Caenorhabditis elegans: one gene and its partners. The protein of the gene in region 2 purifies or fractionates together with the protein of the main gene of each other region. This does not show direct contact. Each region holds a gene or a part of one and is shown on either strand. Other genes may lie near its edges.

Region 1 (8,841 bases), on a different chromosome or scaffold from region 2:
AATATATAATTGGTGTGAGCGTCCACGACGTACCATAGCAGCATTTTGAATGAGCGCGAAATAACCGCCTAGTCTCCGTCACAAATGTACAACACATAGTTGTCCCGTCTTTGTCGTCTTTCCCTTTTTTCTTGTCGCTCCACTTTTCAACATCCTTCCAGCTCTTTTAAATAAAATATTTTGCACACACACACACACACACACACACACACACACACACACACACACACACACATACATACATACATACATACGCCGTGAGCGAAATAGCGGGGACAATAGCGATAGCCAACAGTTGGGACCTATATGCCACCCATTGTTTTGCAACTAAACTAACCTTGACAACTACCAATTAGGCAAAGTATGGGTGTGTTCCGGCACACCTGAAACTTTGCTCACCTACGACCAATCTGACAGCGAGGTTGAGACGAAAGTATCAGGCGGCCGGATGGCACAACCTGTGTTGAGGATGAGAAGTTATTAGAATGGTGGCCTCTAGAAGGAACCTGGACTAGAATAGAAGTCGTTCGTTGGGATGCACGGATGAAACAGAGCGCCATGGGCACAAGAACACGACTGAAGGCGCGCGCGCCGTCGCTCATACACTCACATACACATACACTGAGGGAGAAGGGGAGACACATTCGACGACCGCTCATATTGAGGGTGGAATAGGAGGACGAGGAGCGACGAAGAATGAGCGGGGCAAGAGGACGGATGGAGGAGGCGAGAGGAGGGCGCGCACACAGCCAAAAGGGGCGGGACGACGACTCCTCCCCGCCTCACGTTTCAGCAAGCTCTGGGCTTTAGCTAACAAATGGTGTCAATAGAGTACATTGAATGATCCCATCACAAATAGGCCTTGTTTGGAAGAATCGGAAAACATACTAACAGTACTTATTCCTACATTATATGAATAGTAGAAAAGCTAAAGTGTGGGAAAACATCAAAATTAAGATATTAATTCGCAAGTATATATTCTCGCAAATATCTAGGGAAGCGAATCTTCGTTCAGTTGAGAATTGAGTTTCAAAAGTAAGACAGCGATAGGAATAGCATGACGGTGTCATAAAAAGACAAAGCTGCAATAATTCCATTGAATATTATGATTTGGAAGAAGAAGAAGCATCGGCAAACATTCTTGTAATAAAAATCGCTTGAAATTTATACATTTTCAGTTTCTACAAATCTTTATATTTCTGCAAATCACGGAGGATTTGAAGTCAAATGTTACTGATACTTATTCCGAGCTGATTCGGGATGCGACGAATACCTATAGAGGTCCTGGTGTTCTCTGTGAGATTTCAATATTTCGTGCAACATGAAATAGCAATGATCGACTCAAAATGCCACGTCACGATAATTACATATACAAAGGCCATCTACAATCGTCGGCATTGTCGTAAAACTTTTTGTGTCATCGAGTTGTTAGACAAATATTTCCGCGGCGGTTCGGTTCGGGAGACCACCACCTCCACCACCGCAGACGGTATTGAATTGGAGGGGAGCAACACAAGGACACACGATGAATGGCCTGACGAAGAGGGGCACAATAGGGGCTCTCCTTCTCCGTCGCCGCCGCCGCAGTCGACAGTCTTTCTCTGTTTCTTTCCTGTCTTTTCCATCACTTTCCTCCGGACGTCGTCATCGTTGTCCCGGTCACTACCTTAACCACCAGGCTGTTTGTGTTCAATTACCTGCGGGCGTTTTGTGTATGTTCGCGTCTGTATGTGAGAGATGAGGATGAAAAAGACAGAAAGAGAGAGAGACTAAGAACACGCTGTAATTACACAGCAACCTCATCCTCTGGATAATACTGACCGCCAGTGTGTCGTGTCAACAAGTCGGCTTAAATTATGAAGTAATTAGTCGCTCGTTCGTGGGTTATAGAATGGACTGTCCAGAATGAATTGACACGACATACTTTTTAATAATTCTTTACAGATGAAGGAGAATTCAGTGGCCGATCCTACATTTCTTCCACGTGTTACAAAATGTCATTTTAGAACGCTCACTCTCACAGAAATAAAGCAAATTCACTTTCTAGACAAAGCGAGTCAAACGGCAACTTTCATCTTGAAGTCAGGTCCACACAAGTACAAAACTTCAGCCAAGCTATGGAAGTTTTAAAGTTTAAACCCTGGAATTTCACTAGATTGTAACCAGAACTATACTTTGCAGAGATCACTGGAAGAAAAAGCTTGAACTATTTAAATTTTTATGCGATATTTTCAAAATGAAGAATTGCGTCATTAAACTTGACTCCAGCAAAACGATCAAAAGTTTCCCAATTCAAACAAACAAAACGCTCTCGAAAAAAACGAGCCGATCATCTTGCATCTTCCTCTTTGTAGTCAAATTTGAATTCGCAATTTCTCACTTTGATAATATCGAAATATTTATAAAAATTTCAGACGTAATATTTTAAACAGATTTATCTTGAAAACTACTCACCTTCGGTAGTTGAAGCTCGCTGTCACTCAGATCTTCTCTAACGTCGCCGTGTATTGAGTGATCCGATCCATAATCGAGCTCGTCGTCCATGTCTCTGCTGAAATAAATAAAATTTAGATACATTTAAACTGTTATGCACAATGAAGACAAGGGAGAAAAGTTCAACAATGAATAAATATATTTTTCAATGATCGAAAAGAGTTTGAAGAAGGCGTTCAATATATCTCGCAACAATAACTATTTTAAACGAGTAGAAAATGTTCAAAGGACGGTAAATATGCTTTTCGCGCAATAAAACTCGAGAGCTGAAAGCAAAAAGTCGAGATTGAACAAAATAAGGTAATACAAATTTATCATAGCGCATTAGCTTGATTTTTCGAAAAAAAAAACATATAAAAGAATGCGAGGAAATAGTGGCCAGGTTTTTCTCAGTGAAAAACGCTTCCAAACAAAACCGTAAAATCGATTGGCCCAAAAAACAGATTTCAAACAGCGCGGTAGAAATGTTTTTGCAGTGGAGCGCACATTCGCTACCCAAAATGCGCGGCAAAACAAAGCGAAAAGATTTGGAAATAAAAAAAATTGACTTTCAATTCTTATTTTATTGTTTTATTTATTGATTATCACAATCTAAACGGATTTTCGATGTTATGAAACTTTAAATTCCCACCTAATCGCCTTAATTCTCTCCCTATTAAATCTTTAAACGTTTGTTCAGACAAAAAAACGATTCGCGGCGTTTCGTTTGAGCACGTTTACATTACTATTTTGACAAACAATTTCTTTCTACTTTCATAGTTTATTTATTGTTCTAATGCTGAGTTTTATCAGAAATGACCTCCAAGCGTCCTGGCGGGAGCTCGTTTCAACCAGAAGTGAAGCGAAAGCGTGAAAGTGACGAATTCGAGCAGTGTTACGTTGTAAGTTTTTCATATTATGATTTCAAGCTTTTAAAAATTGCATTTTTTATTTTTAATGATCACTAACCATTTATTTTCAGTCAAGATTCGAAAATGAACTTCCATCTGTACCAACGATTGATAAAACAGGATGGGCCAGGCCAGCAGTCGATAAAGATCTCGGAATTAGCAAAAGCATTGCGTGTCAGATCTTAGAGGTCGAAACGTATCATGAAGACGGCTCTGCAACATCTTACGACAGAACAAATGTGAAGTTGTATGGTGTAACCAAATCTGGAAATTCGATTTGTGTCATTGTGACTGACTACTTTCCACATTTTTATTTCCAGGTAATCTAAGCTTTAAAAAATAAGTATTGGTAATATTTCTTACAGGCACCACAAGGATTCGGTGTCGAGCACATTGGAACTGCACAATCTGCAATTTGCAATATGGTTGCTGCAGCAAAACGCCGAGGTGGTAGCGGTCAAGCTCAATTGCCTGGAAAAGTAGTTGATAATCTTGTTCATGTGGAGATAGTTCACGGAGAGAATCTTTATTACTTCCGCGGTGCTGATACGAAAGTTCCTTTTGTCAAGGTGTCAGGATCTACAGAAGCTCTTCACAAAGCGCGAATGGAATTGAAAAATGGAGTTAACTTGATGGGAAAGGGTCCTGTGAACGTTGGGAATTTATACGAGTCAAATATTAATGTGATTGTCATGTTCTTGGCGAAAACGAATATTGTTGGATGTGGCTGGATTGAGGTTTTGACAATATTAGTTTTTTTTTAATTCTTTATGATTTCAGATTCCTGCTGGAAAGTGCCGAATTCTTTCAAACAGTGAAAAGTCGTCTCGTTGTCAAATAGAAGTCACAGTTCCGGTCAAAAACCTGATTGTTCATGAAAGTGATGGTGAATGGGCTGGAATTGCTCCTATTCGGTAAGTTTGAAAGTTTGAACTTACTTTTGAAAAAATAACTTTTTTAGTACTTTGTCTCTGGATATCGAATGTATTGGTCGACGTGGAGTGTTTCCCGAAGCAATTAAAGATCCTATTATTCAAATAGCTAATCTTGTGAAAATCGAAGGTGAAGCAGAACCATTTGTTCGTAATTGTTTCGTTCTTGGAACATGTGCACCGGTCGTCGGTTCAAATATCATTCAATGTGTGAATGAAAAAGTTCTTCTCGAAAAGTGGGCTGAATTTGTTCGTGAAGTGGATCCCGACATTATCACTGGATATAACATTCTCAATTTTGATCTTCCATACATTCTGGATCGTGCTAAAGTTCTATCACTGCCACAAGTTTCTCATCTTGGTCGTCAGAAAGAAAAAGGCTCAGTTGTAAGAGATGCTGCAATATCATCGAAACAGATGGGAAGTCGAGTGAACAAGAGTATCGATATTCACGGAAGAATTATTTTTGATGTACTTCAAGTTGTACTTCGGGATTACAAACTCCGAAGTTATACACTCAATAGTGTCTCATATCAATTTTTATCCGAACAAAAAGAAGATGTGGAACATAATATTATTCCTGATTTACAACGAGGAGATGAACAAACTAGGAGGCGATTGGCTCAATATTGTTTGAAAGACGCATATCTTCCTCTTCGTCTGCTTGATAAATTAATGTCAATTATTAATTACATCGAAATGGCTAGAGTCACCGGAGTTCCTATGAATTTCTTACTGACAAAAGGTCAACAAATCAAGGTAAATCAAAATATATTTTAAATTATAATACTGAAATTGTTGTAGATTCTATCAATGATGCTACGAAGATGTAAGCAGAACAATTTCTTCTTACCGGTAATTGAAGCCAATTCTGGGGATGGTGAAGGATACGAAGGTGCTACTGTCATTGATCCGATTCGAGGATTTTACAATGAACCAATTGCAACACTTGATTTCGCTTCTCTATATCCATCCATTATGATTGCTCATAATCTCTGTTACACGACACTTTTAAAATCCCCACAAGGAGTTGAGAATGAGGATTATATTCGGACACCATCTGGCCAATATTTTGCAACCAAATCTAAGCGCCGTGGGCTTCTTCCCGAGATTCTCGAGGATATTCTGGCTGCAAGAAAACGAGCGAAGAACGATATGAAAAACGAGAAAGACGAGTTCAAAAGAATGGTTTACAATGGACGACAATTGGCGCTTAAAATCTCTGCAAATTCTGTTTATGGTTTCACTGGTGCAACTGTTGGAAAGTTGCCATGTCTCGAGATTTCTCAATCAGTTACAGCTTTCGGAAGAAAAATGATTGACATGACGAAACTCGAAGTGGAGAGAATTTACAAAAAAGGAGCTCTCGATGGAAAATGTCCAGCAGATGCGAAAGTTATTTATGGCGATACAGATTCTGTAATGGTGAAATTCGGTGTCGAAACTGTAGCTCAAGCAATGGAAATTGGACTCGATGCTGCTAAAGAAGTCAGCAAGATTTTCACTCCGCCGATCAAACTTGAATTCGAGAAAGTTTACTCCCCATATTTACTTATTAACAAAAAGAGATACGCTGGCCTTTACTTCACTAAACCGGATGTTCATGACAAGATGGATTGTAAAGGATTAGAAACTGTTCGCCGTGATAACTGCCCTCTGGTTGCAAAAGTTCTCGGTGTTTGCCTCGAGAAATTACTAATAGAAAGAGATCAACAATCTGCTTTGGATTTTGCGAAACGGACAATTAGTGACTTGCTCTGCAATAAAATTGATATCTCATTGTTGATTATCAGTAAGGAATTAACAAAGTCTGGAGATGTAAGTTCGATTTCAAAACCTTACGAAACTAATTGATTATGTTCAGAAATATCAAGCAAAGCAAGCTCACGTTGAGTTGGCGGCTCGTATGAAGAAAAGAGACGCTGGAAGTGCACCAAGACTTGGAGATAGAGTTCCATATGTTTTTGTCGCTGCTGCAAAAAATGTTCCGGCATACGAACGAGCTGAAGATCCAACTTTTGTACTTCAAAATAACATTCCATTGGACACCAAACACTACTTGACTAATCAACTCGCCAAACCACTTGCCAGAATTTTCGAGCCCATCTTGGGTGATAGAGCAGAAAAGATTCTGGTGGAAGGAGAACATACAAGAGTTCGTACAGTCGTTCAGAGTAAAGTTGGAGGTCTTGCAGCGTTCACAACGAAATCTGCAACTTGTCTTGGTTGCAAGAGTGTTTTACCAAGAGCAGAATCAGAGAACGCAGTTTGCAAACACTGTGAGCCGAAGCTTCCAACGATTTTTGCTTCTAGGTAATTAGAAATGCAATAATTGTTCTACTATATTTTTCATTTCAGAATGAACACTATGCACGAACTTGAAAACCATTTTGGTCGCCTCTGGACCGAATGCCAAAATTGTGCAAAGACTATGCAAGACAAAGTGAATTGCTCGGCTCGAGACTGTCCGATCTACTATATGAGGGAAAAAGTTCGAAACGAGCTATCGGAGGCAAGTGCCGTCATCGAACGATTTGGAGATCCTTGCTTCCAGGCACCTACTAAATGAATTAATTATGATCCCGGTTTATTTGTCTAATTATTATTGACTGTGAATGATCTTACCACACTATTCATCTCATCACACATTTTTCTTTATTACTGGTTATCTTATAAACTCGCGTTGATGATTAAAACATATGTTTTTAATTCTTTAAACTTTTTTGTAAGCGATAATCGCTTAAAATACTTGTCTGATATATTAAATTTGAATTTAAAATACCACAATTTTCAGATGATCACTCGAAAAGCAATATTCTTTTTAGCATTAGCGTCAATTATTCAAGCATCAGATGATTCCGAAGCTCCCGATAATAAAAAGTCTTCAATAAGATTCACTCCATCAGTTATTGATTCTTATAGAGAAAAAGTTCAAAAAATGTTCTACCACGCCTACAACGGATATTTGGATCATGCATTTCCACTAGATGAACTGAAACCAATAACATGCGTTGGACAAGACACCTGGGGATCATTCTCTCTTTCATTAATTGATGCTCTAGATACTCTTCTGGTGATGGGAAATACAACCGAATTCCGAAGAGCAGTGTCACTTGTTCTTGAGAAAGCTCGTGATGATGCTAATGTGAATGTTTCTGTTTTCGAGACGAATATCAGAGTTGTTGGCGGATTAATATCTGCACATATGCTAGCGGGAAGGCATAAAGGTAATTTAAATTTCACAAGGAATATTACTAAACCATCATAAGATTCATTCCAGATCTTGTCGTAGATTGGGAAGGTTATCCATGTGATAGTCCGCTTCTCAAATTAGCTGTTAAAATGGCTGATCGACTTATGCCTGCTTTCAATACAGAAACTGGAATGCCCTATGGAACTGTTAACTTGAAATATGGAGTTCATAAAGATGAAACACCAATTACTTGTACAGCTGGTGTGGGCACATTTCTTATTGGTAATTTTTAAGATTTTAATAATATCCGGCTAACTTCCTTTTTTGAAGAATTTGGTACCCTCTCACGTTTGACTGGCGATGACAAATACGAAAAAGTGGCTCTAAAAGCGTTGGATGCTTTATGGTCGACAAGATCACCAATCGGACTCGTGGGCAATCATATCAATGTTCAAACAGGACAATGGACGGCAACTGATTCTGGAATTGGTGCTGGCGTTGATAGTTATTTCGAGTATTTAGCAAAAGGAGCATATCTATTCAGAAGACCAAGTCTTATGAAACAATTTCATGAACATGCAACATCAATTAATAAACATGTTCGGAAAGGTGAATGGTTTATGTGGGTATCAATGGCCAAAGGATCTGTCTCCTTGCCAATTTTTCAATCTCTTGAAGCATTCTGGCCTGGAACTCTAACAATGGTTGGTGATGTTCAAGATGCATCAAGAATTATGTTAACATATTCTGAAGTTATACGAAAATACGGGTTCCCACCTGAATTTTATAACATTCATAATGAAGAGCCAGGAGAAAAACGAGCCGCATTTCCTTTACGGCCTGAAATGGTTGAATCATTGATGTATCTGTATAGAGCGACAAAGGATGAAACGTGGTTAGAACTTGGAGCTGAAATGATTGATGTTAGTTTTTTATTTTAAACTAAATCTTGAGCTTAATGCGTTTGAAAAAGTTTAAATTTCAGGCAATAGAATCATCAGCCCGAACTAAATGTGGCTATGCTACAATCAACAATGTAAAAGAGCATAGTATTGAAGATAGAATGGAGTCATTTTTCCTTGCTGAAACAACTAAATATCTTTATTTATTGTTCGATCCAACAAACTTCATTCATTCAAAAGGAGATCAAGCTAGAATATTGACGAGTCCAAAGAATTTGACTTGTGTGATCTATGGAGGAGGCTATATATTCAACACTGAAGCTCATCCAGTTGATCCAGGAATGTTGGATTGCTGTAGTGTACAAGCAAAACGGGATCAGGAAGTTGGTGTGAAACAAGTAAGATAGACTATAAATTTAACTTAATTTTAG
Region 2 (7,541 bases):
TCCTGCTGCTGAGACATTTTGGAGATCTGCGGATAGGATGATGCTCTTCAACTGCCAAGGAGACGGGGCAGTGTAAAGAGTGTGAAGCGTTGAGTTTTCTACCTGAAATAGGGGAAGTTCGTAAATGATGGAAGCTTGGGAAAAAGGAAAAAAGGAAAAAAGAAAAAAAAAGTTGAGAAGAAAAGAGAAATAGGCAAGTAAGGGGCAAGAAGAAGCATAAGAGTCACGTGCGTACGCACACGAATACGCAGACACCCAAATAGAAATCGATAGAGAAGTGTGGCGGGGGTCCACGGAAGGTGTCCTGGTCTCTTTCCGTCTCTTTATTCTCTCTATTCTCTCGCTACACCCTTCGAACGTTCTCTGCTGTGCACACTATAGATTGGAGAACACTCGTCGGAAAATACTATAGATTTCTATCGTCCGGGGGACCGAGATGGAATCTGTAGAATTGTTGGAAAAGTGAGCAGGAAACCGGGAAGAGATAACAATTGAACGGGAAATTGGAAATTGGAAAACTGTAATAGTTTGGGAAACAACTACAGTTTGGCCGAAGTCTGAGGGCTTTTGAAGTACGATTATTCAACTTTTTGATAATCCAACTACTTCAATGAATAGTTTTTTTTTCCAACGTTTGCCGAAAGGTTTTCCTGTTGTGGAGCTGTCTGGGTGGAATCCAATTGCCGGAATTGAAAATTTCCGGTAAATAGGCAAAATGCCGGAGCCCCCATAGAGTTTTCGTTACTCGAAAAATCGGCAAAAATTGCTGAAGAATGGCCAAGATTTTCTCAGGGGTAAGCGGCAAATCGCCGGAATTGAAAAGTTCCGGCAAATTGGCAAAATGCCAGAATTGAAAAATTCCGACAAATCGACAAACCGGCAAAATGCCGGAATTACAATTTCTGGCAAATCGGCACATTGCCGGAATTGAAAAATTCCGACAAATCGGCAAACCGGCAAATTGCCGGAATTGAAATTTCTGGCAAAAAATCGGCAGATTGGAGGAATTGAAATTTCCGGCAAATTGTCGGAATAGAAATTTCTGTCAAATCGGCAATTTGCCAAAAATGACAAATTCCGGCAAATTGGCAAATTGCCGGAATAGAAATTTCTGGCAAATCGGCAGTTTGCCGAAAATGACAAATTCCGGCAAATCGGCAAATTGCCGGAATAGAAATTTCTGGCAAATCGGCAATTTGCCAAAAATGACAAATTCCGGCAAATTGGCAAGCTTCCAGAATTGACAAATTGAAAATTTCAGACAAAAATCGGCAAATTGACGGAATTGAAAAATTCCGACAATGATTTGTCGGAATCGGAGCAAACCGACAAATTGCCGGAATCGGAATTTCTGGCAAAAAATCGGCAATTTACCGAAAATGAAAAATTCCGAATCAGCTAACCGACAATTTGCCGGAATTGAAATTTCTGGCAAATCGACAATTTGCCGAAAATGACAAATTCCGGCAAATCGGAAAATTGCCGGAATTGAAATTTCCGGCAAAATATCGGCAAATTGTCAGAACTGAAAAATTCCGGCAAACCGGCAAATTGCCAAATTTGCCGGAAAATATCCTTGCCAAGCGGCAATCTCTATTGGCTGATGTAATCAAATTCCATAGGCGTTGCATCTCATCTTTTCACGTGAACAGCACATGTCAAATGTGAAAAACCGGCAAAAATTGAACTGATAAACGAAGACAATGAATGGAAAATTATACATACGATATGTTATAATGTGCATTTAATCTTATCTATCAAAAAGTTCAAGTACTCTTTTTGTTGGAATAAATTGGAAAATTCAAATTTTTCTAATTTCAATTTCATTTTGAAATGAAAGAAAAAAACTTGGTTTCTTATGTGACGAGAGATCACACTGAACAAAAAAACCAGCTTCCAAAACAACATCATCACGAGAAAACAGAGAAAAATGCGAAACAACAAGCAAAAGCTTGGGTGCCGCGTCTGCGTCTCTTTTGTATTTTTGTCGTGTTGTGTGCTTGGGGGGTCTGCTGACTTGTCTCGTCTCTCCATGAACGTCCAATGGAGCGCGGTTGCTAAGGGGTGGTAGACGCATTTTTTCGAAAGTGTGTACTTTGAACCCATTCTTTGCAAGTAGTCGTTCCTATTCATTGCACAGTGAAAGTTGGCTCATAACGCTCAGAATCGCGAAGTTTTCGATTATTTGAAGTATGTTTGCTGTAGATTCAACAAATTTTGGACCTTTGGCAGGTTTTTGAGCAAAAATCGGCAATTCTGGGAAAGAGGCAAACGTTTTTCCGGCAAGTCGGCAAATTTCCGTAATTGAAAATTTCCGGCAAACCGGCAAACTGCCGAATTTGAAATTTCCGGCACGTCGGCAAATTGCCGGATTTGAAATTTCAGGAAAGTCGGCATTTTGCTGGAATTGAATATTTCCGGCAAATTGTCGAATTTGAAATTTCCGGCAAGCCGGCAATTTGCCGAAAATTAAAATTTCTGCCAAATCGGCAAATTGCCGGAATGGAAAATTTCCGGCAAACCGGTAAACGGCAATTGCCAAAAATTTTCGGCAAAGTGTGGTTTTGCACATTCCCTTCTAGAAATTTCAATTTTGATCGGCAAATTTCCGGCAATTTCCCAAATTGCCGGAATGAAAAATTTCCGGCAATTGCAAAACTTGCCGAAAAGACGGCAATTACCAAAAATCAACGGCAAATTGTGTTTCCGTCTTATGAAAAAATCCCACTAAAATGTTCCGGAAAATCGGCAATTTGCCGAAACAGAAAATTTCCGGCAAACCGGCAATTGGACGAATTTTGCCGAGAATGAAAAGTGAAAATTTCCGGCACATGCAGAATTTGCCGGAAAAAACGGTGGTTGCCAAAAATTTTCAGCAAATGGTGTTTCCGTCTTATAAAAAAATCCCTCTAAAAGTTTCCGGCAAATCGGCAAATTGCCAGAATAGAAAATTTCCGGCAAGTTACCGAATTTGCCGAAAAAAACTTGTCAAAAATGGGCCGTTTCTGAGGAGTTTTCCCAAAAAAAAAACTGTAAAATTTCGGTTTTTAATCGAATTTTCACCTTTTTCTACTGAAAATTACACTGAATCTTGATAAAACTGCATGGCAAAAATTCCACAGAGTTTTATTAAATTTCAGTGTAATTTTTAGTCAAAAAAGGTGAAAATCCGATTAAAAACCGATTGTTTTAGAGGATAATTTTTAGTCAGGTGAAAAAAGAATTTTTAGTCAGGTGAAAAAAAGAATTTTTAGTCAGGTTTTAAAAGGTGAAAATTCGATTAAAAACTGATTTTTCTAGGAAATTTCCTAAAAAATAGGCTAGAAGCTGCACATTTTTGCCGTAACTTGACATTTTTTCAGTTATTTCCTAAAAAAAAGTCGAAAATTGACGGAAAACTTGAATTTTTATGTTTTTTCGCTATTTTTGTTCAAAAATCTCCAAAAACATGTGATTTTTTTCCAATTTTTCAAATTTCAGCCCAAAATGAGTAGACGTTACGATACAATAAAGCATCTTGGAGAAGGACAATTCGCCAACGTTTATCTCGCACAAGACCTCGAATCGGGCGAATGTGTGGCTATTAAAAAAGTATTTATACATTTTTCCGCTGAAAAAATGAAAAAAAAACCGCGTAAATTTGTAGATCAAACTAGGATCGAGAGAAGAAGCAAAAGATGGAATCAATCGAACGGCGATTCGAGAGATTAAACTTTTGAAGGAAATTCATCATGACAATATTATCGGGGTTTGGAAATTTTTGGATTCAAATTTGAAATTTTCAGGCCTAGAAGCCCAAATTAAAAAAAAAATCTGTGAAAATTAACTGAGAAAACCGATTTTTTGGCAAATTTTCCAACAAAAGTGAAAATTTAGTGAAGAATATTACACATACGCGAAACATTGTGATTTTTACTCTAAAAATACGTGTTTTTACTGGAAATTGGGAAATTTTGAATTTAAATTTGAAAATTTCAGAAAAAGATGGCCAAAAGATGGCGAAATCTTAAAATTCCTTAAAAATCTGTAAAAAAATAACTGAGAAAACCGATTTTTTGGCAAATTTTCCATGCACTTTTATTGTTAATTGCAAAAATATTACACATACCCGAAAAATTGTGATTTTTGCTCCAAAATTACGGTACCAGGTCTCGACACGACAATTTTTTTGTTAAATGCGAAAAGGTGTGTGCCTTTAAAGTTAGAGTACTGTATCTTCAAACTTTTGTGGAAATTTTCACTGAAAACAGGAAAATTTTGAGTTAAAATTTGAAATTTTCAGACCAAATTTTTTAAAAATCTGTAAAAATTAGCCGAGAAAAAACGGATTTTTTTTTGTCAAATTTTCCATCAATTGTTAGCTGTAAAATATCATTACACATACGCGAAATTTTGTGATTTTTGTTCCAACCTGGTCTCGACACGACAATTTTTTGTTAAATTCGAAAATTCGTGCGCCTTTAAAGAGTACTGTAGCTTCAAACTTTCGTTTCTGCTGGATTTTCATCGGATTTTTACATAGTTTTTTCGATAAAAATTGTATTTATTTATTTAGAAGAAAAATAATTTTTTTAAAAATAAATAAATATATTTTTATCGAAAAAACTATGTAAAAATCCGATAAAAATCCAGCAGAAACGAAAGTTTGAAGCTACAGTACTCTTTAAAGGCGCACACCTTTTTCAATTTGGGTAACAAACAGTTGTTGTGTCGAGACCAGGTACCGTAATTTTGGAGCAAAAATCACAAATTTTCGCTTATGTGTAAAAGCGGATTTAATATTTGAAGTTTTTGAAGAAATTTTTTTTTGAAACAAAAATTCGATTTTTGGTATTAAAAATCCCAAATTTTGCGATTTTTGTTCAAAAATTACGGTACCTGGGGTTTCGACACGACAAGTTTTTGTTAATAGCGAAAAGCTGTGCGCCTTTAAAGAGGCTACTGTAGCTTCAAACTACCGTTTCTGCCGTATTTTCATCGATTTTTCATAGTTTTTTCGATAAAAATTATATTTATTTTTTTAGAAAAAAAAAAGAATCGAGTATAAAGTTTACTATTTATATTTGATTTTTTTTTCTAAATAGAAAAATAAAATTTTTATCGAAAAACTTTGCAAAAATCCGATGAAAATCCGGCAGAAACGAAAGTTTGAAGCTACAGTAGCCTCTTTAAAGGCGCATCACACCTTTATCGATTTAACAAAAAAATTGTCGTGTCGAGACCAGGTACGGTAATTTTGGAGCAAAAATCACAAATTTTCGCGCATGTGTAATTTTTTCATTAAAAATAAAAGTGCATGACCATTTTTCAAAAAAAATTTTTTTTTTGGAAAATTTTACAAAAAAATCGGTTTTTTCTCATTATCAGTTTTTTTTACAGATTTTTTTTAAATTTAAAATTAATAAAATAAATAAATCGATTTTAAAAATTGAATTTTTCTGAAAAATTCGATTTTTGTATTAAAAAATCCTAAATTTTCAATTTTTTTCAGTTACGAGATGTGATTGGACATCGAACAAGTATTCAACTGGTTTTCGACTTTATGGATACAGATCTCGAACATGTGATTAAGGATAAAGAAATTATTCTAATGCCAGCACATATCAAAAATATTACGATGCAAATGCTTCTGGGACTCGAATTTCTACACGTTCACTGGATTCTTCACAGAGTACGGTTTTTGATGGAGAAAATTGGAAATATATTGAAAATTTGCGGAAAATAACTAAATTTCGATATTTTTTTGGCTAAAACCATGAAAAATTGAACTCAAAAGTTATTTTCTGAGTGAAAAAATTAAAAGTTAACAAAAAAAAATTGTTATGATTTAATTTGTAAAAAATATATTCAAAATTTGATGAAAATAGCTAAATTTGATATTTTTGGCAAAATTAACTGGATTTTCGAACTTTTTTGAGGGAAAAAAAAATATTTTAGTGTAAGAAATTTATTTTCCGATTTTTTTTTTGAATTAAAAGCACGAAAAATGACGGAATTCGGATGTTTTTGGCAAGGAATAGTTTAATTAATAAAAATAGACAAAATTCGATGAAATCGAATTTTTTTCGGGCGAAATTCGCTCAAAATTTGAATTTAATGAGTCAAACCGTGAAAAATTGGACTCTAAAATGTTTAAATAATTTTTTTCCGATTTTTACATATTTTTGAAATTATCTTTGAATAAAAATCAGGAAAACCCCGAATTTCGGGTGAAAACTGGCAACAAATCTGGAAAAATTTGGTTTTTATGGCAAATTTTCGAATTTTGAAAAATTCTAATACAAAAAATGTTTTAAATCGAACGAACTCGGATAAAAAGACATTTTTCATTCAAAAATTAGATTTTTCGAATCAAAAAATTCAAAATTTGAATAAACAATTTGGAATTATCAGAATTTTTGCAGTAAAATGTAATAATTTCCAAAAAAAAATCAGAAATTACCAGCCAGTGATCGTTTTTTTTTTTCGAGAAAAATGCGCCAAAAACATGTAATTTTGGGAATTTTTCAAATTTTGTGGTTTTTCCACATTTTCAAAAAAAGGGCTCCAAAAAGTATGAAAAATTGGAAATTTCACAAATTTTTCGGATTTTCTCCTTTTTTTTCGAGAAAAATGCGCTAAAAAACATGAAATATTGGAAAATGTAAAAAATAAAAAATTTTCGGATTTTCCTTTCTTTTCGAAAAAAAATATGGGCCAAAAATCATGAAATATAGGAAAATATTAAAATTTTCAATTTTTTCCTTCTTTTTCAGAAAAAAATGTGCCAAAAAGCATAAAATACTGGAAATTTTTCAAAATTTCTGGATTTTCCCTTTTTTTTTGAAAGAAAAAGCGCCAGATTTTCAATTATTTCCCAAAAAAATATTATATTTTTAAAATTTAATTTTTCCAGGATCTGAAGCCAAATAACCTGCTGATGAACAAAATGGGACGCGTGAAGCTCACCGATTTCGGTTTGGCTCGATTCTTCGGATCTCCAAACAGAAATTACACTCATCAGGTTTAAGAGGATTTTTTTCCTGAAAAAATTGCAAATTTCCCGATTTTCAGGTTGTGACAAGATGGTATCGAGCCCCTGAGTTGCTCTTTGGAGCACGTTCCTATGGAGTTGGAATTGATATTTGGTCGGTTGGATGTATCATTGCCGAATTGTTGTTGAGAGTTCGTTTTTAATGATTTTTTTTGGAGAAAAAATCGAAAATTCGTCAAAAATAGAGTTTCCTTCGAGAAAATCAAAAAATTTGCTTTTTGGCTTTTCTTTTTCGAAAAAAAATAGGAAAAAAACTGGAAAATGTGCAAAATTTCATAATTTTTTGGCGCATTTTTCCGGAAAAAAAAAACCGAAATTTTTAAATATTTTTTTTTCCACTTTTCTTTCGGAAAAATCGGAGAAAAACTGAGAAATTTTGTGAAATTTTCAGTATTTCATACTTTTTTCGAAAAAAAATTGGAAAAAAACTGAAAAATTGTGAAATTTCATAATTTTTGAAAAAAAAACCGAATATTTCCAATATTTCATTATTTTTAAACGCTTTTTT
Region 3 (5,379 bases), 5.0 Mb from region 2:
GCTGGTTTGTTCTATAAAAATTATAAGAATTGAAATAAAGTGTTTCCTTACCTCTACAGTTTTCCAGCTTCTGAATGGTCCATTGTTAACTTCTCCATTGGCATCTCCCATAAATTCATTCGTCCATCTGAATATTGAAATCAAATTTGTAAATTGAAATAATAATTACAAGATTGAATCTTTTGAATCTGGAAGATTTTGATCTAATGATGAATCCCAATATGGAAGATGAAGTGATGGGTCAACCTAAACAATATTTATTTTTCAATTTTAAATACGAGAGATAACAAGCCTGTCGAATCAGGAACTCCATTCTTTTTACAAATTCTCTATGCCACGGAAGGAATGCTGGTCCAGAATGAGCAGCTCCACTTTCAGAATATTGAGCATGAACTCTTGCCAGTCGATCGTATTCTCCATTCTGTTTCAGAGTTCGGAATGCTTGATGAAGTCGTTGTCGTTCATCATCAGAAAGCATACGGTATTCTTTTCTTACGACTTTTCCAAGTGGACGACCTTGAACCACGCAATTATTTCCACCGGTTCCTGAAAAAACTAACGAAAAATTGGGAATACTTCCTTGATCACCAAAAGTATAAACGATGAAAGCTCACAAATTGATTCTACATTCTATATTACATTTATCTTTTATAGATCAGCTTTGAGGCTATTTTATAATTGTCAAAATTATGACAGATTATGTTACTTACCTCTGAAAAATACACAAAGACAAGCGATATCCATACATTGAAACACATTACTTGCAATTGGAGAAAATTCAGCAGCCATTGCTTTACCAGCAATTCCAGGTGTTTTCACGTCACCGGATAATGATGGAGTTGCCTGAACTTTAAGATTATGCATCAAAAGTTTAAGAATAATTTCAGTACATTTCTTCAAATAATGTAATCCTTAAACCACTTACCCTTGCTTTTTGATCCCATCTTTGAATCTGATTACACATTATTCGAATAGCAGGAGTTGGAGCTTTTGAGCAGTCTAACTGAGAGTTTACTTCAAAAATTAGAAAATATACTAGCAGAATAATATACCGGATCATTTTTGTTATATTTTCCAATCCAATTTTTGTAAATTGTTCTCTTATACTCTTGCAATTTTGTTGATTGTCGTGACACTGGAACAGTACACTTTCTATCTCGACCTGTTTTTAAGGAAGATGTTTTAACAAAAATAACAGAAGAAAACACAAAGATTAATAATAACAAGTGGATGGTAGAAATTTGGGAATATGAATTTATCATAGTTTTCATTTTCTTTTTATTGAGATATCAAGGTACGAGTTATCAAGTTTGAGAATCCAATTCACTCAACGAATCAAACTGAAAGGCATCTGTTCTGAGATGAAGAAGTATTCGATTTTCTGGTTCGTGGTGTTCCATATTGAGGAAGTTCAGATATGGATGCAGCTTCAGTTCCCATCTAAAATAGACTTACATTAGGTTGAGAAACAAAATTTCATTCAAAAGGTCCCATAATCATTTTCAATCACTTAATTACTTTTAATTTGGATCTTCCATCATGTTTATGACCATGGAAAGGACACGCTTTGAATAAAATCTGAATGGCCGTTATTGTGATTTTCTGATATTGTTATTTTCTAAATATAATAATCAAAAAACCTTTTAAAACAACCGTACCAAATTTCCAATTTCCTCGTGATGTTCAGAAGGTGTCGAATTTCTAGCAAAGTGGTTTCCATTGATATTGAAGTTTTCATCTTCCTCATCAAATCCGCAAAGGCTTCTGATACAGAGAACCACAAGGCTCAACAAAGCTTGAAACACACCGCAAGTTATGCAAAAGAAGATAACGAAAATCAATAAGAGTGGAAGAAGATCTGAAAAAAATTGAACTATACAAAAAGATCAGCCCAATGCGGGGCTCGAACCCGCGACAACCAGATTAAGAGTCTGGTGCTCTACCGGCTGAGCTAACCGGGCCCGGCGACATTCATATTTCATGACATTTAAAAACTCTTTCTTTGCCATTGAAACACGTGACACTTACACTGCCCGTCTCCTTTCTCCCACTCCAAGTACAAGTCAGTTGCGTTGACGATCGAATCGTTACTATTTTTGTCAGGAATCGTCAGAATTGATTTCACTTTATCGTACAGCGTCATATTTTATACCAGAAATGATTAATTGTTTCAATAATTGAACACGTCAGATAGAAGAAAAAGAATGCATTTATTTCAAAAAACATGATGCCACGGTTTAAAATAGTTTTGGAAATAAATATAAATATAATTTTTTACTGATTTGTTTACAAGACTGATAATGAATTAGTGGCAGAATGTAAGCAATGCAATATTTATCCAGGTGGCCATTGGAGCTGACGTCCTCCCAAAACGTGGAGATGAAGATGGAAAACTGATTGAGCTCCATCTTTTCCATTGTTCACAACAACACGGTATCCATTGGCCATGCCGAGCTGCTTTGCAACCTGGAATTTTATTTAAGAGTAATATAATGGAGATTTCTGGATTTTCAAATTCGTTTTTACTCATTTATAATTACCTTTGAAGCAGTAACCATAAGCTTTCCAATAAGCGCAGCATCCGAATCAACGGCATTCTCGAGCATATCAATGCGACGCTTAGGGATCACAAGAAAATGAATTGGAGCTTGTGGAGAGACATCATGGAATGCGAGAGCCTTAAATAAATATTTTATGTGATCGTTTGCCTGATCTTACATACCTCATCATCTTCAAAAATGATTTTCGCTGGAATCTCTTTTCGAATTATTTTTCCGAAAAGAGTGTCGTTGGCTTGAACATCTTTGTTAATTGCCGCCAAGTGGGCTTTATCTACTTCCGACATGTTTCTCTTTGTAAACCTGAAAAATGGTGGAATCGATAAAGACACCTTGCCTACAGTAACCCTGACCTAACTGGATTACGGTAAGCAAGACGCAAAGCGGTTTTAACCAAAGAGGAAGCCATACTAAAATATTGAAAAATGGGCAAAAAATAACCAATATGCAATATATTTCAAACGATGAAAACGCTAGACAACGAGAAATAAACAATAAACATGTGAAAATAAATGCTTTAATCAGTAAAATGATACAAAAAATAATCAAAAAAGTTAACACAAGAACAAGAATTAATGTACCAGAATACAATTTGAACCCATAACGTGATTTGTCGATTGTGCAGTTTTTACTTTCGAACTGAAATAATAATTTGAATAGAAAACCAAGAATTCTCCTAGGTTTCTTCGAAAACTCGGTTTCCCTCTTACTTACCATTCATGAAATATTGATTAGAAGACAATGGCGGAAGCTCTCGAATATCTCCATTTGTGAACTGTTGATAAGCTTCACCTCCCTTTCCAATATGTAATGAAACATTTCCAATTGGTTTTCGATGAACAACCCACGCGATTAGGTCAAAATCTGCTGATAATTTCGAATTCAAATGATTCAGAAGACGTTCTTTTGGAATTGTGACAAGTACTCCATTTGTTGCTTTCAAATAATAAAAATGATGATCCGAGTTCATCTCTGTGTTGTCATGATATTGCTCCACTACTAGTTCAGGTTTTGAAAGTGCGATTTTTACTTTCATTTCAAGCACTCCTCCGAAGCATCTGACCGAGTTTTTAAAGCAATCAATTTTAAGGAGAGAATCTGGCGTGTCTGGTTTCTTTTTCACTTAAAATTAAAGTTTTTTTAAAACATTGGTAAATTGTAAAATACCTGCAATATGTGTATATGGAATCTTGAAAATGAGCCTATCTTTTGTTTCAATTCTACGAGGCAAGATATCGAAGAATGCCACGTCTCCGAGTTGAGGGGATCTTTCCAATCCTTCACACGATCTTTCTTGAAGCAAAACGTTTATAACGTCTCTTTTGGCTGTGTACAAAATTGCAAAGCCATCGATTTTTTGCACAACGGTGCATAAAGCAGATTGAGGCTGAAATATGGTGATGAAGATTAATATTATTGTTCTGGCATTACGTACTTTTTCGGAATCAGTTTTATCTTGACGAAGCAGTTGAAGCATCGTTGGAGCTAAATCTTTAATAAACGGTCTCATCGGAATATTAGATGTTCCACGTGTTCCGTATGTATCTTCATCATCAATTTCATCTTCATCTGATAACTGATTTGAATCAATAACTGGTGCTGCTCGACTTGAGATTGTAGTCTGGGACAAGGATGAATCAACTTGATTCAATTCGATACTTTGGCTTCGAAAAGTTTCCGGAGGTATTTCCCGATTCTCTGACACAACTCTAGAGGAATTGTACGAATCAGATGTCTGCGAGTTCATTTGAGAATGCACGTCTTCTTGATGTTGACTTGATTGTTGATCTTGTACGTCGGTTTCGGGTGTTTGAACATATCCATTACCAGTCATAATCTAAAAATGTGATTACTTGAAAAATTCTGAACTATAAGTCACATACATCCAACAGTCTTGTATCATGAAGATACTGTACATCAGAATCAACGACTGGATTCGGGAGCTGAAATTATATTATGTAAACTGCAGGAGGTTGTGGCTTATATGTTCTGGGAAATTTTGATAAGCAAAAACCAAAATGTGAACAATTCAAAATGAACCAGGACACTTTTGCCACATACTGATTGATATCCATTTCGGCTTACAGCATCACAGGTGTGTAGCTTTTGTGGATCTTCATGCACACTCAATGCGACCCAACCTGCCAGAGATGCTTGAGCCTGCAATATTTTTATTTTAATAGTTTTTTTTAAAATCGATAACTTACTTCAACAATAAAACTGCGTCCATCATAGTGTTGACATGATGATTTGATCAGACTAAAGTCGTCAATAATATGATCATAGGAAATATCGTAACTGGTGAAATCATACAAATTATTTTTCCGATCTACTATTACATCAAATCGAGCTGTTATCTGAAAAATTATAAAAATCCGTACTCTTTATTTATTAAAACTTTTTCCATTTGAGATTACCAAAATTTCTCCTTCATCGTTAGCCTCATACTTCGGAAAGAATCTCGCCGATGAATTTCTGTGATTCGGCAAAACGTCCCAGTTTTCATATCCACAACTATTTGAGGAATCCAATACGTATTGTCCCACGAAGTTCTGACAAACAGTTAATCTAAAATTGCTAGTTAATAAAATCAGATAAAATAATGTCTAACTTTAGCCAGCGTCCTATCTGCAGGCTCTGAATATTTCCACTGATTTCGACAAATCCATCGATATTTTTGGTATAGAAAAGATAATTTCTGTTTCCATATTTATTGTAACCAACTACCAATCCATATATTTGGGTTTGCGGTTGTTGAATTTGTGGTTGGGGATTATACGACGATGATGGCTGACTTTGAGCATAATAGTGATTTGGAGGA

Evidence for each region.
Region 1: the proteins of cdk-7 (region 2) and pold-1 fractionate together in Caenorhabditis elegans (co-fractionation; one large-scale study listed by BioGRID). This does not show direct contact.
Region 3: the proteins of cdk-7 (region 2) and hint-1 fractionate together in Caenorhabditis elegans (co-fractionation; one large-scale study listed by BioGRID). This does not show direct contact.

What each region holds. Positions count from the first base shown.
Region 1 is NC_003283.11:12,038,323-12,047,163, forward strand, and holds pold-1 (DNA polymerase delta catalytic subunit), read left to right. Parts: upstream 1-3,233; 5' UTR 3,234-3,287; coding exon 3,288-3,374; intron 3,375-3,454; coding exon 3,455-3,703; intron 3,704-3,748; coding exon 3,749-4,120; intron 4,121-4,163; coding exon 4,164-4,297; intron 4,298-4,344; coding exon 4,345-5,074; intron 5,075-5,119; coding exon 5,120-6,133; intron 6,134-6,179; coding exon 6,180-6,628; intron 6,629-6,673; coding exon 6,674-6,884; 3' UTR 6,885-7,025; downstream 7,026-8,841. Other genes in the region: Protein kup-1, read right to left, coding at 2,455-2,544; F10C2.5 (alpha-1,2-Mannosidase), read left to right, coding at 7,110-7,542, 7,596-7,790, 7,839-8,431, 8,494-8,808. UniProt on the Caenorhabditis elegans protein: Possesses two enzymatic activities: DNA synthesis (polymerase) and an exonucleolytic activity that degrades single stranded DNA in the 3'- to 5'-direction.
Region 2 is NC_003279.8:2,285,693-2,293,233, reverse strand, and holds the start of cdk-7 (Cyclin-dependent kinase 7), read left to right. Parts: upstream 1-3,480; 5' UTR 3,481-3,486; coding exon 3,487-3,591; intron 3,592-3,646; coding exon 3,647-3,748; intron 3,749-5,491; coding exon 5,492-5,671; intron 5,672-6,895; coding exon 6,896-7,003; intron 7,004-7,053; coding exon 7,054-7,164; intron 7,165-7,541. Other genes in the region: Y39G10AR.11 (TPR_MLP1_2 domain-containing protein), read right to left, coding at 1-17. UniProt on the Caenorhabditis elegans protein: Serine/threonine kinase involved in cell cycle control and in RNA polymerase II-mediated RNA transcription. Required for maintaining chromosome ploidy. May phosphorylate the large subunit of RNA polymerase II, ama-1.
Region 3 is NC_003279.8:7,277,467-7,282,845, forward strand, and holds hint-1 (Histidine triad nucleotide-binding protein 1), read right to left. Parts: upstream 2,862-5,379; 5' UTR 2,846-2,861; coding exon 2,723-2,845; intron 2,679-2,722; coding exon 2,541-2,678; intron 2,467-2,540; coding exon 2,335-2,466; 3' UTR 2,204-2,334; downstream 1-2,203. Other genes in the region: Putative tyrosinase-like protein tyr-3, read right to left, coding at 1-11, 52-127, 170-246, 293-546, 711-843, 926-1,060; F21C3.7 (Small integral membrane protein), read right to left, coding at 1,336-1,440, 1,659-1,858, 2,029-2,143; rde-2 (SH2 domain-containing protein), read right to left, coding at 3,187-3,197, 3,273-3,680, 3,726-3,945, 3,994-4,395, 4,442-4,501, 4,620-4,718, 4,766-4,915, 4,976-5,126 and 1 more.